Anolis sagrei: one gene and its partners. The protein of the gene in region 1 interacts with the protein of each later gene in a biochemical or structural test. Links are inferred from orthologs where the notes say so. Each region holds a gene or a part of one and is shown in the gene's direction. Other genes may lie near its edges. The genes, in order: UBE2D1, RNF4 and RLIM.

Region 1 (3,755 bases):
CAGTGAGGGCATTGGTTTCCAGGTGGAAGGTGGTCTCGGTCGGGGTTGGCTTGACACGCCTTCCTCTTGGCACGCTTCTCCCTTTCGCCCTCCATTCGTGCCTCCTCAAATTCTGCAGCACTGCTGGTCACAGCTGACCTCCAGCTGGAGCGGTCAAGAGCCAGGGCTTCCCAGTTCTCACTGTCTATGCCAGAGTTTTTAAGGTTGGCTTTGAGCCCGTCTTTAAATCTCTTTTCCTGCCCACCAACATTCCGTTTTCCATTCTTGAGTTCGGAGTAGAGCAACTGCTTTGGGAGACGGTGGTCGGGCATCCGGACAACGTGGCCGGTCCAGCAGAGTTGGTGGCGGAGGACCATCGCTTCAATGCTGGTGGTCTTTGCTTCTTCCAGCACGCTGACATTTGTCCGCCTGTCTTCCCAAGAGATTTGCAGGATTTTCCGGAGGCAGCGGTGATGGAATCGTTCCAGGAGTTGTATGTGACGTCTGTAGAGAGTCCACGTCTCACAGGCGTATCGCAGGATTGGGAGGACAATCGCTTTATAGACAAGCACCTTGGTATCCCTATGGATGTCCCGGTCCTCAAACACTCTCTGCTTCTTTCGGGAAAATGCTGCACTCGCAGAGCTCAGGCGGTGTTGTATTTCGGTGTCGATGTTGACTTTGGTGGAGAGGTGGCTGCCAAGGTAGCGGAAATGATCAACATTTTCTAATGTTACACCATTAAGCTGTATCTCTGGCATTGGGGAGGGGATGGCTTGTGACTGCTGGAACAGCACCTTGGTTTTTTCAATGTTCAATGACAGGCCTCTGCGAAGGTGTTTAGGGTGGCTTGTAGCTCTTCTTCTGAATGCGCACAGATGACGTTGTCATCAGCATACTGGAGTTCTATAACAGATGTTGTTGTGACCTTGGTTTTGGCTTTCAGTCTGCTGAGGTTGAATAGCTTGCCATCTGTCCGATAGATGATTTCCACTCTGGTGGGAAGCTTCCCATCAACAAGGTGAAATATCATAGCGATGAAGATGGAGACTAGAATTGGGGCAATAACACATCCCTGTTTGACACCGGATTCCACCTTAAATGGGTCACTTTGGGAGCCATTGCTGTCCAAAACTGTTGCCATCATGTCATCATGGAGGAGCCTTGGTCCTTATACAGATAGAAGATAGATAGATGTCAAACACCCTGCACTGTGCGGAGTCATGACTTCATCCGGGCGGCAGGGGGCGCTGCGCGGGCGAGGCTGTGGTTCTGGAACTACGCTTCCCGGCATGCCTCTGGCGGCCTGGCGCCGGTGTGGGCGGGGCCGCGGGGGGTCTTATTAGTACAAGCGGAAACAAAAGACCCTTCGACTGGGAGCGGAGAGGCGCCTCGGCCCCGGCCTCCGCAGCACGGCCCCCGACGCCGACGCCTCTTCCTCCTGGGCTCCCCCTTCACGGCTTCCCCTCAGCGGGCCGCATCCCCGGGCTCCCCATGGCGCTCAAGCGGATACAGAAGGTGAGCAAGGCCGCCCGTCAGCCCGCCCGTTGGGAACGGAGAGAGCGTCGAGCTGTGAGGGCCTCCTCCTCCTTCTCGAGGTGGCGCGCGAGCGAGGGGGTTCCTGACGGGGGGGGGGGGGGGAGGCGCAAGATCTCGCGAGAGCCTGTGCCAAGGCCTCCAAGGGAAGGGCCCCCCGCTTGTGTCGCCTTCGCTTTGTCTGTTCAGGTTGGAGCAGCTCTTATCACTCCTATTTGGGGATCTTGGCCTGAGATGTCTCTTGGGAGCCCTTCCACACAGCCATATCATCCAGACTATCAAGGCAGGCGGTCCCACAATATCTGCTTTGAACTGGAATATATGGCATTGTGGATTCAGATCACCCAGTTCAAAGCAGATACTGTGGGATTTCCTGCCTTGATATCCTGGGAGCCCTTCCACACAGCCCTATATCCTATCAAAGCAGAAAAATCCCACATTATCTGAGTGTGGACTGAGATAACATAGCTCAAAACAGATATTGTGGGATTTCATGCCTTGATATCATGGGGGCCCTTCCACACAGCTCTATATCCCAGAACATCAAGGCAGAAAATCCCACAATATCAGCTTTGAATTGGGTTATCTGGGTCCACACTCAGATAATGTGGGATTTTCTGCCTTGATATCCTGCGATATAGGGCTGTGTTGAAGGGCCCTTAGAATATCAAGGCAGGAGGTCCCACAATATCTGCTTTGAACTGGAATATATGGCATTGTGGATTCAGATAACCCAGCTCTAAGCAGATATTGTGGGATTTCCTGCCTTGATATCCTGGGGGCCCTTCCACACAGCCCTATATCCCAGAATATCAAGGCAGAAAAATCCCACATTATCTGAGTGTGGACTGAAATAACCCAACTCAAAACAGATATTGTGGGATTTCCTGCCTTGATATCCTGGGGGCCCTTCCACACAGCCCTATATCCCAGAATATCAAAGCAGAAAAATCCCACATTATCTGAGTGTGGACTGAAATAACCCAGCTCAAAACACATATTGTGGGATTTCATGCCTCAATATTCTGGGGGCCCTTCCACACAGCCCTATATTTCAGAACATCAAGGCAGGAAATCCCACAATATCAGCTTTGAATTGGGTTATCTGGGTCCACACTCAGATAATGTGGGATTTTCTGCCTTGATATTCTGGGGTATAGGGCTGTGTGGAAGGGCACCCAGAATATCAGCTTTGAATTGGGTTATCTGGGTCCACACTCAGATAATGTGGGATTTCCTGCCTTGATGTCCTGGGGGCCCTTCCACACAGCCCTATATCCCAGAATATCAAAGCAGAAAAATCCCACATTATCTGAGTGTGGACTGAAATAACCCAGCTCAAAACACATATTGTGGGATTTCATGCCTCGATATTCTGGGTGCCCTTCCACACAGCCCTATATTTCAGAACATCAAGGCAGAAAATCCCACAATATCAGCTTTGAATTAGGGTCCACACTCAGATAATGTGGGATTTTCTGCCTTGATGTTCTGGGATATAGGGTTGTGTTGATGGACCCTCGGAATATCAAGACAGGAAATCCCACAAGACAGGAAATCAGTTTTGAATTGGGTTATCTGGGTCCACACTCAGATAATGCATGGTTCGTTCGGACAGGTAAGTTGGGCCAGAACCGTTTAGGGCTTTAGAAGCCAAAGCCTATAAAGCCCTCTAAACCCATCAGAAATTTACCATGGAGTTGTGCTGGAAGATCTTGGGCCGCTCCACATGGCCATATAACCCAGACTATCAAGGCAGATAACCCGCAATATCTGCTTTGTACTGGGGGCCCTTCCACACAGCCATATAACCCAGAATATCAAAGCAGAACATCCAAGAATATCTGCTTTTAACTGGGTTATCTGAGCCCACACTCAGATAATGTGGGATTTCCTGCCTTGATATTCTGAGGGCCTTCCACACAGTCCTATATCCCAGGATATCAAAGCAGAAAATCCCACATTATCTGAGTGTGGACCCAGATAACACAGTTCAAAGCAGATATTGTGGGATTTTCCACCTTGATATTCTGAGGACTCTTCACCACAGTCCTATATCCTGGAATATCAAGGCTGAAAATCCCACATTAGTGTTAATGTTTCATTATTATATTGTCCATGTTTTATTTTTAATTGCTTGTATTGTTGTTATTATTGCTTGTATTGTTGTATTTTGGCTCGGCCTCATGTAAGCTGCACCGAGTCCCTTGGGGAGATGGTAGCGGGGTACAAATAAAGTG
Region 2 (3,755 bases), on another chromosome or scaffold:
TATTATGATATTATAATAATATATTTTATATTAAATGTAATATTACTAATAATATTAGAGTATAATGTTATAGTACAATGTAATATATAATATTAATATTGTGCTATAGTAATAATATAATATATTGTATTTTTACTTGTAAGATGCTCTGAGTCCCCTTCGGGGTGAGACGGGTGGCATATAAATGTATGTGTATATGTGTGTATATATATATATATATATACACACACACACACACACACACACACACAAGCCATCCCCTACCACGTGTTTCTGTGGCCTAGTCTGTGTATATATTTGTGTATTTGTGTTTATATGTATGCATGTATATTGTGTATGTGTGCTTGTCTATATGAATATTTGGGTATATATGTGTGTGTATATTTGTGTGTGTTTGTGCATATATATATATACACAAATGTGTGCATGTAAATATGTATGAGTGTATGTGTATATGGTGGGTTTTTTTGGGGGGGGTTTAAGTCTGCTCCGCTGGGGTTGTGTGTGTGTGTATTTTTAGGGGTGATGGACACTCGTTGGACTGTTCGGTGTATTGTGTCCAAATTGGGTGTCAATTCGTCCAGTGGTTTTTGAGTTCTGTTAATCCCACAAACGAACATTACATTTTTATTTATATACATATTCCAAGAAATACACACACACACAACCAGGAAGGGGTCGCAGTGATGAGAAGACACCTCCGAGGAGGCGACGGGGAAGGCAAGCCCTCAGGGCCCAAAACCCCGCTCGCCGGGCCCGGATGGGGAGGGACGGCCGCGGAGGGCGCCAGGAAAGGGGAAGGCCTGCTCGAGAGGCCCGGAGCAGCCCAGCGGCCTTCCTCAGTGGCGAGCCCGAGGCTGAGCAGCGGCCTCCAGGCCTGCGAGGGGGCGGCGCTGGGAAACGGGGGAGGAGCCGCCGCTCGGCCGCGGATGTAGCGGCCGCGGATCCCCGCTATGCCCGGCGGAAGGAAGGAAAGGAGGGAGGGAGAAAGAAAGGAGGCCGGGCCGGCTACCTGGTCGACGCTGGTGGCTGACATTCTTCAAGGGGCGCGCAATCCCCCTCACCCCCTCCGCTCCGCTCGGGCCTGCTCGTGGGTCCCGCTTCCCTCCAAGCGCCGCTTCCTCCGCCACTCTCTCCTCCTCCTCCGCCGCCTGATTGTCTCCGCAGCTCGGCCCCCTCCTCCTTCTCCTCGGAAAGCAACCCGCTGGACGCTGCGAGCGCGGCGGCGGCGTCGGCTTCCCTCCCTTCTCCTCTCGGGGCTTCGCTTTCCCACAATGGCGGACGCGCTCCGGCTCCTACTTCCGCTCCGCAGCGCCCTGACCTTCCGCTCTCTCCCCCCTCTTCCTCCTCCTCCTCCCTCCCTCGCTGCTGCTGCTGACGACGACGTCGCAGGCGACCTTTCCGTCTCCGCCTCATGTCACGTGGGGAAGGGGAAGGAAGAGGAGAAGGAGGGAGGAGGAGAAGAACCAGAAAGGGGCGCATGCGCACGCCTCCTTGGCCTCCAAGAGCTTCCAAGAGCCCGTATGGTGTGTGTCTAGGAGGGTGAGGCGCTCGCGCGCGTCGACGCAGGCGCAGTGCTGCCTCCGACCGGTGGGGGTGGAGGCGGAAGTGACGTCAGCATTCTTTCCCTCAGCCGCACAGAGTCGGGCGAGAATCCTGAGGGAACGGAAAAGGCGTGAGAGTGCTTCGAAAAGGAAGGCGTTCGAGGCCGTTTTCCCAACCGTCTCAACCGCTCGGCTCGGAGTGAGCAAGGCGGCGCTTTCTCGGGACGCCGTAGTCGACGGCTGAGGAGAAAGAGAGCCCCTTGGCTTGCTTCCTTCCTTCCCTCCGTTGAACCATCGGCACTCGCGACAGGGAGGCCTCGGCGCCAGGCTCCTCGCCGCTTCTTCCCCGGGAGATTCCTCTCCCATTTCGGTGAGATTGTCTCCAAAGGCTTAACAATATGAGGGAGGGGTGTGAGGGGAAGGAAGGAAGGAAGGCAGGGCCTGTCTTCCAAGCAGGGAAATGGCGGCCGAGGGAGTGGGAGCCTGGCATGAGGAAGCCTTTAAGAAGGTCCTGGCCCGGGTAGAAAAAAAGCTGAAGACTTAGAACTGAGTCGGCAAAAGACGGGGGGAATTATCAGAGTTTTAAGAGGCATTTGTTTGGTTTTTTCCTTTTGTTGTTTCAAGCCTTCCGCGTTCAGGGTATTCGGCTTTTAGTGCTGAGTCATGGCATAGCTCGAACAAATGGAACAAAGTCCACCAAAGAGAGATGTACCTATCTGGGCCAACGCAAAATGCGGAGAAACGCTTCATGTCAGATTTCGAAGCTCCACTGGCTTCTGCGCCCTCTGAAGAATCATACATAGAAGTGAAGGAAAATGAGGGCATTAGAGACCTTTGAAGAATCATGCATACAAGAGAAGAAAAATGAGGGCATTGGAGACGCAGGCCTACGTTTTGCACCCAGTGTTGTTTTTGTGGGTCAGTTGTTCAGGGCGGTTTTCAATCCAGACATAAGCCACTCCCCCATTTTGGCCTTCTGAGTGCCAAGACAAAAAAAAACCCAGTCAAATGTACTGTATATACTCGAGTATAAGCCGAGGCACCTAATTTTATCACAAAAACTGGGAAGATGTATTGACTCGAGTATAAGCCGAGGGTGGGAAATGCATCCACTATGGGTCAATTTCAAAATAAAAATAGATACCAATAAAATTACATTAATTGAGGCATCAATAGGCTAAATGTTTTTGAATGTTTACATAAAACTGTAATTTAAGATAAGACTGCCCAACTCTTATTAAACCATTATGTTAACCTATAAGTAAATGTACTTATTATTAAAATAATAAATATAATAAAAAATAATACAGTGAAATAATGAAAATGTAATAAAAACAGTCATAGTAGAGTAAAATAATAAATGTAGCAATAACGGGGAAATGCTGTAAATATAATAATAATAATAATAAATAGATTAAAATAATAAATGTAATAATAGGGTAAAATACTGTAAATGTAATAATAATAATAATAGAGCAAAATAATGTAAATAGAATAATAGAGTAAAATAATAAATGTAATAAAATATTACTAATAACAGAGTAAAAGAATAACCTTGACTCAAGTATAAGCCGAGGGGAGCTTTTTCAGCCTAAAAAGAGTCTGAAAAACTAGGTTTATACTCGAGTATATACCGTAAATCGCTGCAGCAGCAGAGTCACTCCTATTGGAATCCAGGATGACTCAGCCTTTTGTGAAGCCACAGGCCCCTTTCTTAGGAATTTATTTATAGTATTGGAAGCAAACCGAGGGTACATTTGTAATGTATTTTTTAAAAACTTGGCATTATACTAAAATGTCCTTTGACCAGTAGCTGGCCACTTGGAGTGCTTCGGGTGTTGCTATAAGAAGGTCCTCCACTGTACATGTGACAGGACTCAGACTGCATTGTAAGAGGTGGTCTATGGTTTGCTCTTCTCCACACTCACATGTCGTAGATTCCACTGTGCAGCCCCATTTCATAAGGTTGGCTCTGCATCTCATGGTGCCAGGTGCAGTCTGTTCAGCCCAGTTTTCTGTGTGCCCAGGGAGGAGTCTCATTCAGTATCAGCCATGTCTTGGGGTTCCAGGTTTTAGCCTGCCAGTTTTGGACTCTCACTTGTGAGTATCTCTGTAAATCTTAGAAAACCCATTCTTGATTTAAGGCGTTGGCGTGCTGGCTGATATCCAAACACCAGAAGTTTTTTAAAGTAGGAGACACTGAATTTCTCC
Region 3 (3,755 bases), on another chromosome or scaffold:
ATTTATTATTATTATCCAATAACTATTTATTATTCATCTATTTTATTATTATCCAATAAATACTTATTTTATTTTTTATTATTATCCATTAAATATTTATCTATATTATTATTATCCACCACATACTTATCTATTTATTATTATTATCCAATAAATATTTATTATTTACCTATATTATTATTATTATTATTATTATTATTATCTTCCTTCTTGACCTTAGTATCTACTACATATTTATCTATTTATTATTATTATTATCCAATAAATATTTCTTATTTATCTATTTTATTATTATTATTATTAATTATTTTAATTATTATTTCATTATTTTTATTTAATTATTTTTATTGGATTTATTATTATTATTTTATTATTATCCACTACATATTTATCTATTTATTATTATTATTATTATTATTATCCAATAAATATTTATTATTTATCTATTTTAATATTATTATTAATTATTTTAATTATTATTTTATTATTATTTATTTTATTATTTTATTATATTATTATCCACTACATATTTATCTATTATTATTATTATTATTATTATTCAATAAATATTTATTGTTTCTCTATTTTTTATTATTATTATTATTATTATTATCTTCCTTCTTGACTTTAGTATCTACTACATATTTATCTATTTATTATTATTATTATCCAATAAATATTTCTTATTTATCTATTTTATTATTATTATTATTATTATTATTATTATTAATTATTTTAATTATTATTTTATTATTTTTATTATTTTTATTTAATTATTTTTATTGGATTTATTTTATTATTATTTATTTTATTATTTTATTTTATTATTATCCTGTACATGTTTATCTATTTATTATTATTATTATTATTATCCAATAAATATTTATTATTTCTCTATATTATTATTATTATTATTATTTTCTTCCTTCTTGACCTATTCTATTCTTCTTGGTTCAGTTCCTGTTCAAAATGGACGCCCCCATTGAGCCGCTCTCTCTCCTCAGTCCTCCACACTCTATGACCGACACATTTCTCCACTCTCTCACTATAATCCAGCCGGATAGGTTTAGCAACGGAGCATGCGCACTTCCGCCACGCATTCTATAGGTTCAGCAACGGAGCATGCGCACTTCCTCCACCTGCGCACGCATTCCAGTCAGTGGCGAACGAGGATGGGTTACTGAGAAGTGGGGGGGGGGGGGAGACGTCACTTCCGCCTCCTGCGTGCGCAACGGAGCCCAAACCAACGGGGCTGGGCCTCTCCCTGTGCCGTGCGCATGCGCACTCTCCTCTCGTCCCCCTCCTCCCTCCCGCTTCCGGTCCCCGAGTTCCTTAGTAACAATGGAGCCTAAGATGGCGGCCTGAGAGGACGGAGGGCGAGAGAGGAGCCGGGGAAAGGAAGCAGGCGGACAGGGAGAAGGAAGGCCAGCCGCGTCGGGTCCGGCGGACGGAGAACGCAGGAGAGGAGGGAGAAGGAGGCCGCGGACGGAGGTGAGCAAGCCGGCCGAGGGAGGCAAACAGTCAGGCAGGCTTCGACAGAGAACTAGGCCGCAGCCCTTCCTTCCTCCCTCTGCGTTTCCTGCTTGGTGAGGCCTTCAGGGGAATGGCCTCCATACAATTCCCACACAGCCCCACATTCTCTGCTTTGAACCGGATTATATAGCCGTGTGGACTCATTTGGTCCAATTCAAAGCAGGCATTGATATATTGTATGTACATATAACTTGTAAGCTGCTCTAAGTCCCCTTCGGGGAGGGAAGGGCGGCATACAAATGTCATTTTTTTGTCGTTGAGAAACTGCAAGTCGTTTCTGGTGTGAGAGGATTGGGCTGGATATCTGCCTTGATATCCAGGGAGATATGGCTGTGTGGAAAGGCCCGGAGACTCGGAGCCCATCTACGCAGCCATAGAACATCAAAACAGAGAACCCACAATGTCAGCGTTGAACTGGGTTCCCTGAGTCCACACTGCCCTTTATCCCAGGATCTGATCCCAGAGTATCTGATTTAAACTGGAATATAATCATCATAATAAACTTAATTTTTTAACCCACCCACTGGCATTGAATGTTTGCCATTTTCCCTTTTTGGAAGCCTCCCTGAGTTCTCTCGGGGAGACTAATTATGTGTGTGTATGTGTATGTGTGTGTGTGTGTGTGTGTGTGTATATATATATATATATATATATACACACACATACATACACAAACACACACACAATTAGTCTCCCCGAGGGGACTCAAGGAGGCTTCCAAAAAAGTAAAATGGCAAACATATATATGTGTGTGTGTATATATATATATATATAAATGCTCTGTGCGTAATGAGTACCTTAAAAACAAAAGGACCAATGAATGAAATCACACCAAATTTGGCAACAAATGTCTCACAACACAAGGAGTGACCATCACTCAAAAAATTATGATTTTGTCATTCAGGAATTGTAGTTGCTGGTATTTATAGTTCACCTACAATCAAAGAGCATTCTGAACTCCACCAACATTGGAATTGAACCAAACTTGCCGCGCAGAACTCCCATGAGTAACAAAAAATACTGGAAAGGTTTGGTGGGCATTGACCTTGAGTTTGGGAGTTGTAGTTCACTTACATCCAGAGAGCACTGTGGACTCTGCCTTGATATTCAGGGAGATATGGCTGTGTGGAAAGGGCCGGGGACTCAGAGCCCTTCTACACAGCCATAGAACATCAAGGCAGAGAACCCACCATGTCAGCTTTGAACTGGGTTTCCTGAGTCCACACTGCCCTTTCTCCCAGGATCTGATCCCAGATTATCTGATATAAACTGGAATATAATCATAATCAACTTTATTTTTTAACCCATCCACTTTCCCTGAGGGGGAGTGTGTGTGTGTGTATGGCATTGAATGTTTGCCATTTTCCTTTTTTGGAAGTCTCCCCGAGTCCCCTCAGGGAGACTAATTATGTGTGTGTGTGTGTGTGTGTGTGTGTGTATATACATACATACACACACACACACATAATTAGTCTCCCTGAGGGGACTCAGGGAGGCTTCCAAAAAAGTAAAATGGCAAACACACACACACACACACACACATATATGTATATACATGCTCTGTGCGTAATGAGAACCTTAAAAACAAAAGAACCAATGAACGAAATCACACCAAATTTGGCAACAAAACGTCTCACAACACAAGGACTGACCATCACTCAAAAAATTATGATTTTGTCATTTGGGAGACTCAATGTTATATTATTAGCATAGCACAATATTAGTATTATAGGGTTGTTGTAGGTTTTTCCAGCTATATGGCCATGTTCCAGAAGCATTCTCTCCTGACATTTCACCTGCATCTATGGCAGGCATTCTCAGAAGTTGTGAGGAGCTGCATCTATATGCAGGCGAAACGTTAGGAGATATAATGCTTCTAAAACATGGCCATATAGCCAAAAAACCCTACAACAACCCAGTGTTTCTGGCCATGAAAGCCTTCGACAATATAAAAGTATTATATATTAGTATATTGTACTAATACCACTTTACAGTAATATTATTAGTCATATCGCATGTAATATAAAATATAATTATTATATTGTAGTATTATTATTAGTATTATATTGTATTACATTATAATATTATCAGTATTATATATGTATACAATATATTATATTATTGGCACAGCACAATATTAGTATTATATATTACTATACTGTACTATACTGCTATACTGTAAAATTATTAGGAATATTACATGTAATATAAAATATATAATT

The links.
Region 2: the proteins of UBE2D1 (region 1) and RNF4 form a complex in vitro, tested with the Homo sapiens proteins (12 studies listed by BioGRID). The link is inferred for Anolis sagrei from reciprocal best matches to the Homo sapiens genes UBE2D1 and RNF4.
Region 3: the proteins of UBE2D1 (region 1) and RLIM form a complex in vitro, tested with the Homo sapiens proteins (5 studies listed by BioGRID). The link is inferred for Anolis sagrei from reciprocal best matches to the Homo sapiens genes UBE2D1 and RLIM.

Annotation. Positions count from the first base shown.
Region 1 is NC_090023.1:178,057,335-178,061,089, reverse strand, and holds the start of UBE2D1 (ubiquitin-conjugating enzyme E2 D1), read left to right. Parts: upstream 1-1,208; 5' UTR 1,209-1,473; coding exon 1,474-1,497; intron 1,498-3,755.
Region 2 is NC_090024.1:46,924,122-46,927,876, forward strand, and holds the start of RNF4 (E3 ubiquitin-protein ligase RNF4), read left to right. Parts: upstream 1-1,575; 5' UTR 1,576-1,914; intron 1,915-3,755. Other genes in the region: YTHDF3 (YTH domain-containing family protein 3), read right to left, coding at 1,013-1,036. UniProt on the Homo sapiens protein: E3 ubiquitin-protein ligase which binds polysumoylated chains covalently attached to proteins and mediates 'Lys-6'-, 'Lys-11'-, 'Lys-48'- and 'Lys-63'-linked polyubiquitination of those substrates and their subsequent targeting to the proteasome for degradation.
Region 3 is NC_090030.1:32,286,747-32,290,501, reverse strand, and holds the start of RLIM (E3 ubiquitin-protein ligase RLIM), read left to right. Parts: upstream 1-1,293; 5' UTR 1,294-1,491; intron 1,492-3,755. UniProt on the Homo sapiens protein: E3 ubiquitin-protein ligase.